Caenorhabditis elegans: one gene and its partner. The protein of the gene in region 1 interacts with the protein of each later gene in a biochemical or structural test. Each region holds a gene or a part of one and is shown on either strand. Other genes may lie near its edges.

The links.
Region 2: of the proteins of nmur-2 (region 1) and capa-1, one has a biochemical effect on the other in vitro, tested with the Caenorhabditis elegans proteins (2 studies listed by BioGRID, with this or other methods).

Annotation. Positions count from the first base shown.
Region 1 is NC_003280.10:122,751-127,002, reverse strand, and holds nmur-2 (Neuromedin U receptor homolog nmur-2), read left to right. Parts: upstream 1-1,998; 5' UTR 1,999-2,000; coding exon 2,001-2,081; intron 2,082-2,128; coding exon 2,129-2,297; intron 2,298-2,340; coding exon 2,341-2,497; intron 2,498-2,653; coding exon 2,654-2,819; intron 2,820-2,864; coding exon 2,865-3,111; intron 3,112-3,163; coding exon 3,164-3,452; intron 3,453-3,502; coding exon 3,503-3,605; 3' UTR 3,606-3,733; downstream 3,734-4,252. Other genes in the region: srd-3 (Serpentine receptor class delta-3), read left to right, coding at 1-65. UniProt on the Caenorhabditis elegans protein: Putative G protein-coupled receptor for pyrokinin-like neuropeptide derived from the processing of the neuropeptide precursor capa-1.
Region 2 is NC_003284.9:5,918,037-5,921,142, forward strand, and holds capa-1 (LYMARV-amide), read left to right. Parts: upstream 1-1,723; 5' UTR 1,724-1,729; coding exon 1,730-1,799; intron 1,800-1,927; coding exon 1,928-2,021; intron 2,022-2,084; coding exon 2,085-2,181; 3' UTR 2,182-2,458; downstream 2,459-3,106. UniProt on the Caenorhabditis elegans protein: Encodes at least three neuropeptides: two of the periviscerokinin family (APHPSSALLVPYPRV-amide and LYMARV-amide) and one pyrokinin (AFFYTPRI-amide).

The DNA of each region.
Region 1 (4,252 bases):
TTAAGCCAGTAATCGCCAGTGCAATGCTGAGTTCAACTGCTGCATCGGTCGCCCCAACTCCGTAGTACCTTCTATTGTCACAAGCATGAAAAGAAGCGGGAAAATTAAATTACAACGATAACAATACAAAACGGGCACATTTTGAACTTTGTGAATATATATTTTAAAACTAGTCTCATGTACATATTGCTGCTTTTTGTGTAAATTTTGCAATAATGAAACTTTCTGTTTTATTTTGTAGATATATTCTAAAAGTCTCTAGTATACTCATTTCTGGTCAAAGAAAAAGATGGGAAGGGTCCCAGATGGTCACTAAAAAATTTGAAAAAGTTGTGATGTAGTGCGAATCCTTTTCGCAATGTTGCGGTTTTTTTTAAGTTGAAATTTCTTTCATCCCTATATGTTGATTTTGTTTGAAAACGTGCTTAAACAAAATGGAGGCTAAGAAAAGAAGCTTATTAAAAATTTTAAAAATTTTTTTGTAGCAACTACAATTTTTCTCAAACACCGGGAAGTTTAGTATTTTCTGTTAATTTTTTTCGGGATTGCCCTATTTTCTCATGTATTTTCATGACAATACCGCTAAATACCGCATTTGGATAACTTACTTAGATTTTTTTTTTTTTTTGATTTACCCATCCTGAAGGTTTTTTTGGCAATGAGGTAATTTTTCAAATTGACCTCTTTCTTAGTATTTTAGTACATATTATTGCTGAAAAACTGCGTTACTTTTTTTTGAAATGCTCATTTTTAGCATGCGCTTAATATTGTTGTTTTTTGAAAACTTCCAATATTTCTTTGCAGATCTCCCTTCTTTTTCCGTCGTCTGTTTCAAAATTCCCATATCACAATGCTTCTAGTTTTTATGAGTGTTTTGTGAGAGAAGAATGAGGATTTTCATATTTTTGGACTCCTGCTGTGTTTTCATGAAGAATTTTTTTGATCGAGTTTATAGAAAATAAAATGATTTTTTTTGCAAATTTGATTTTTTTTTAGCTTTTGGATTTTTTCTGAGCACATTGAAATTACAAAACGTATTCTTAATAAAAAATCTTTCGGCTACATTAATTTTTGTTAAATGTTGGAAAAAATTCAAAAATTTGAGTCTCCTGATCAATTTTTAAATTTAGCCGGCTATCTCTATACATGGAAAAATTCCAAAAAAAAAATCAAACAAATTCGTGAAAAAAGCTACTTCCTAGCAAAAATCATCAATTCCTATAGAATAGCCAACAAATCTAATGAATTAGAGATGACGACGGAAAGAAGGTGTTTATTAGTTATATGACCATGAAAAATTGGTTTTTTTTCCTGTCTTGACTCCCGGAATTATTATTGGGAAAACAGACCAAAACAGGACAAACTTCCTGAATTTAGATAAATTTAAAATTCCTCAACAAAATCTTTCAAAATTTGTTTGTGTTAGGATAGCAACAAAAATTGTACAAGTATAAACTTGAATACTATTCACTATTTTTCCACACCCCAACTGATCATCTAAAACTGCAATAGGAAAGTTTGGACTCTATTGAACTAAAATGATTAATTGAATTCACACGCTAGGACCCCTCATCTACTTAAATGTAACTTTGTTTTTTTTTTCTAGAAAAAAAGACGAAATCCACAAGAAAAACAAATAGAAAGAGTAAAGTTTGTTGAGGATGAGCTTTCGTGGTGATTGGAATTTTTTGTGGCACAAAATATTTTGTAAAGTTTGTTAGAAAACATGCAAGAATGAGTTCCAAGAAAATATGAGATTGAAATTTTTGTGTTGTGCGCAGTTAGATGAGAGAAAATACCCAAATGCCATATAATCTAAAATGTAAAAAAAACTACTTTTCATCTGAATTCAGAATTGAATTATATTTTCACCTGCTAATTTTTAACTATTAGCCAAACTGATTCCAAAATTCCTTTTTTTTTTCAAAAATTTACTTTTGTCTTCACTACTATCTGGTTAAATAATAGTTAATTTTTTCTAACGTATTCAAAAATTCTAGATGTCCCAATGCACAGTGGAATACAATGTGTCTGAAATCACTGAATATGTATTGTCTACTCTAGGTGAACGGTGCCAATCGGTAAGCTTCAACCTTTAAATGTTTTATATTTACTTTAGTTTTTACAGGCAGGAATAGTAATTCCAACAGTCATTATTTATGGAACTATTTTTCTACTTGGATTATTCGGAAATATTTGCACATGTATCGTAATTGCAGCAAACAAATCTATGCACAATCCAACAAATTACTATTTATTCAGTTTGGCGGTTTCAGATATTATTGCCTTGATATTAGGTGATTTTTCTCTGACTCAAAAGTTTCACGCAAAATGTTTTAGGGCTCCCCATGGAGTTCTACCAATCCCTTGATTACTCATATCCATATCGATTCAGTGAGGGAATTTGTAAAGCTCGGGCTTTTCTCATTGAGTTCACTTCATATGCATCAATAATGATTATTTGTTGTTTTTCATTTGAGCGGTGGCTGGCAATTTGGTAAGCATTTGGTAAAATTTCAAAAAAATTAAATTCAAATTTGGTAAAATTTGGTTCTTTTTTGTATTATTTTTGGAAGAGATTGGAGGATCTTAGGATATCGAATTTGCCGAGAAAAGTTGCTTGTGAAATATGATCAATGTAAACTAGTTTCAGCCATCCACTTCGTTCAAAAATATTCTCAACTCTCTGGAGAGCCAATGTTCTTATTATTCTTGCTTGGACTATTTCATTCGTTTGCGCTCTACCAATTGCATTCATAGTTCAAATCAACAAACTCCCCCTTCCAGAAGACGCAAAATATCAACCATGGACTAACAAGGTTAGTTTTTTTGCAGTCGGAGTCCTGAATAATCGAATTTTCCCGGTCTCAACGGATGGAATATTCGTACTTCACACCGAATTCTGTGCAATGAACCAAAGTCGTCCGGATCAACAAAAAATGATTATTATATTTGCATTCACTGTGTTTTTTGTTATTCCAGCGATTGCGATCGTTATTATGTACGCGCATATTGCCGTTCAACTAGAATCATCAGAAATTGACTTGAAAGGAGATAAAATGGTAAAGAAAAGAAGGAACAAAAGCAATAGGACAGTTCTGAAGATGTTGTGTAAGTTCTCAAAGGATATTGATTAGAGCTATAACTTTTACCTTAATTTTAGTATCGGTTGTCATCACATTTTTCATTTGCTGGCTTCCATTCCATATTCAGCGACTTTTATCTGTCTATACGACGTGGTCCGAAACCACGACAATATCACCTCCGGTGCAATTCCTATCTATGATTGTCTTCTACATCTCAGGATTTTGCTATTATTCAAACTCTGCTGCGAACCCAATTCTGTACAACATTCTGTCTCAAAAGTATCGAAGTGCATTTTGTCGGACCATTCTAGGGGACCATATTGCTAATTTTGTGTTTAAAGGTCATCAGAGACCAGGGCAGTCAAAGTAAGTTCGAAGCGTGTTTGACATAAAATACACCCAGCAACAAATTTCAGAAGATGCTCTTCCTCAACAGAAGCCGAACAAAGAACTCTCATGACACGTGGAAGTGTACGTGTAGATAAGCCCCATCGTAAATTGGAAGTACACAACTACTGACATAATGCTAACACACGATTTTATTTTTGCTTTTATTTGACTACATCCTCTATGAAACATATCTTTGAAACCGATTGTTTGATAAAACCGTTTTTGCCTCAAAAATTCAAAAACAAAGTCATTGTGAGTGAAAACTTTCATATTGAAGGTTATCCAAACCAGGGCACTTTGCGAAAAGCCAATTCTCATTCAATTTTTCTACAGCTACAAAAATGTTTATATTCATTATTGCATTGATTGCATTGAATGCTAATCAATATTGTCCCTTAAACTTTCCCTCTCTTAACCAAAACATCAAGTTATGCGAAATCTATTACGTAAAAACTTCTGAGATAGAAGTCATTGCGTTCCAATCATACCATAAAAACTATTGCGCAAAAAGACTAACTTGTCTTTTTTCGTTTCTCGCAAGTCTCATTTGGAACACCGAATAACTAAACTTGATATCTTTGTGACGTAATGATGTGGTCTTGCCTTGTTGCAAAAGCTATCAGATATCAGATAAAACAACTAGAATTTTAATGCTTATTAAATTTTATTAATTTTATTGCCCACATGTTTTTCTTTGATCATTTTCAAAATCCGAAGCTTCAATTTATTTTACTGACAGTCATACACTATTTCTCCTTCCGTTCATTATTTGCCGT
Region 2 (3,106 bases), on another chromosome or scaffold:
GAGCCAGGCAGCATATGCTATTACCTGCAAACACTTCAGCAATAACTCGGATTCCTCTCGTAAATAAATTTCGAAAATATAAACTTTTCTTAAAATATTTGGCACATATTGTTGGCACAACCTTTTTAAAATCATTGGTGGACCTACAAAGTGATGTCCAAATATGAAAATAAAGACGAGAAACGAAACGAACTAATAATACCCGCGGCTTAATTTGAGGACAACAAACGACAGCTTCTCCATGTTTTTTGCAAAGTTGATCCTTGGAGGGCAATTTTGACAACACGTGCTGTAAAAATTTGCGGATACCAAGCCTACAGTTGATTTGTGATGTACCAATTATGAGCACGATAAATCGCGAGCCAAAACGACCACTGTTCACATTTCTGTATTTTGAGAGTTGCGATAGGCGCATTGTGCGCAATGTTGGTGGGCATGGCGGTACTTTCACAATGCTGTTGCTGCGAGGCTCTGACTCTCACGAATATTTAGTTTTGCTTTGTTTTTACGTTCGTTATATCCTTGGAATGTCATTCTCGTACCTGAAACCACCTGGAAACTGTTTTCGTTTACGCATTCTTAACCCGGAAATGTGTTTCTCGCCAAAACACAAGTTCAGCTGCAAAAATAAACTTTTTCGAGTGAATCAGGAATTTCAGAAGTTTATCAGAGACTTGTTTTTACAAAATCTACACATGTGACTGGAATTTTCAAACGTTTGAGGTAAATATTTTCAGTTTATGATGAATACGTAACTGAGATAAATTAAATAAATAATCTTTAAGTTCACAGTCTGAATAGTCTGCAAAACCGGACACTCAAACTCTAACAATTGTTTAATTTGCCTGTCAAGGCAATTCTAATCACTCAAAAAGTGCAAGAAGCGCACTTGTTCCCTAAAGAATGCTTCTAATCCCTTTGTACGAATTTGTACTGTCAACGAACTGTGTGGTGGAATGAGGAAGACGCAGCAAATAATCCATTGACAAACTGGGCGGGTCCGTCAAATCCGTGTGGCAAACAACTGACAGTCTAACTAACTGTTGCTGCTCATTTTCAATCAGTGCGAGCTGGCCTCCTTCCGTCGTCTACATTTCTTATTGATTATTCGGCATTCTGTTAGGAAGCATCAATGTGTTGTGACCGTTGTTACGGTCAATTTGCAAATTGAAAAAATGACCGTAATCCCGTTCACAATACATTGTTCGTTTTCTCCAAAGGTGATTCATTAAGTAAAAAGGGAATGTGGGTGTGCAAATGTGAATGTTCTGCTGGTTTACAACCGTGGTTTACAACCAGACAGCTAAAAACGCATGCCTGGATATTAGAGAGTGACGACTATATCCATATTTATTTTGACTATTCCGTCGGCTCGAATTCCTGGTAAGATTTTCTTGTTCACATTTGAATAGGACAAATAGTGATTTCACTCGTTTTTCTTCCTTTTCTGTCTTTTATTAATTTCCTTTTTTTTTGAAAATAGCCGGAATCGTTTTTTTTTGTCGGCCAAGAGGTGAGTAGGTGTAGTACAGCAGGGGTGATAAGCCAAAGCGTCACAAGACCGGTGGCTCCCAGAACGGAAATTAAAAAAGGTGGGACTTTGGGCGGCTTAAAGTGTCACTGGTCTGGACGAGTAGATATTCGACACCCCTCTTGCACATATTATTTGTTAGTCTGACTGAGTTTTCTCAGTCATTCAACATAAACTGTTCACATTTCTACAGGAACAATGCTTCTCTGGATCGTCGCCACTTTGCTCATTTTTAGCCTTCCAGTGTCAACGGCTTTAGATTATAATGGTAATTGATTTTTCATCAGTATCACTAAAACATTTTGAGAATCTAACCATGATTTAATAGTAGGTATATAGTATATCAAGTATGTACATGTAATACAATAATCCCTTATAAAAATCTACATCTTTCAGATTTCTCCTTGCAACGAATTGCTCGGGCTCCACATCCATCATCTGCTCTCTTAGTGCCATACCCAAGAGTCGGAAAACGAAGTAACATTTTGAAGTAGGTTCAAGCAAAATGAAAAATACATTTTATGTAAAAAAGTTTTAAAATTTTGTTTTTCAGTAACAATTCCGAATCACAAAACTCTGTCCAAAAGAGACTCTACATGGCGCGTGTTGGAAAACGAGCATTTTTCTACACTCCACGTATTGGGAAATAATGACGAGGATACTCCAGACGGACCGGCTATAACTGACACTTTTCATTTTGATCAATCCTTATTTCCCTCTTTCCCCTTGTTCTTCTGTCACGTTCCTTTCTTTTTTCATGAATGTATGTACACTATATTATCACAACAACACAAATCGACAAAATTTTTTTGACCTTTTCTATTAAATTTTTTTAATTTGAAAGTCTTATTGTGTTTTCTTTTCACTTCCATTTCCTAATATCTTGAACATTTTTCAAATGTGGCAGAATAAAGTGTGCGACGCGTTACCAAAATACACTTTGATTTTTGATCTCACTCGATTTCGAGGAGATCTGTTCCGTTTTTGACGTTTTTTTTTCTGACAACGACAATTAAAAATTGAGAACAAGAAAAACAACATCTCGTGTTTGTTGAATTGATACATTGGGTTTATAACGAAGCACAGATGTATTTTCTGGCGGTATTGCTTTTAGTATGGGAAGATGTTAACGTTCGTGTTTTTTGTCGGTGGATTTTAATCGCTATTTCTCAATTCCAGCTGAAAAATTTTCAACTTTTTTTGTATGTAATGTCAATAACACGTTTTTCTTGTTAGAAAAATAATTATTTTGCAGCTGCCAACTTTGATCACCTATAGTAATTTCCCTATCATTCATAATTACGCTTCCGTTGGTCAAACTTTGCTCGAAAATTATAGATTTAAAGTTTTCAGTAATCAAGTGTTCATAAAATCATGTACGTTCATGCTATTTTGAGACTATTCGAATTTTTTGGAAGTTTTTTTTTTTTTCGAGCCAATGATGTGATTGAAAAGAATTTGTTATTTGTTTGATTCCCCAATGCTTTCATGTCATGTTCGTTTTACAGGAAATCATATGAAAAGTTGTCAGACTTTGTATCTAGTGTTGTCACTTTTTTTATCGCATTTTTTCCT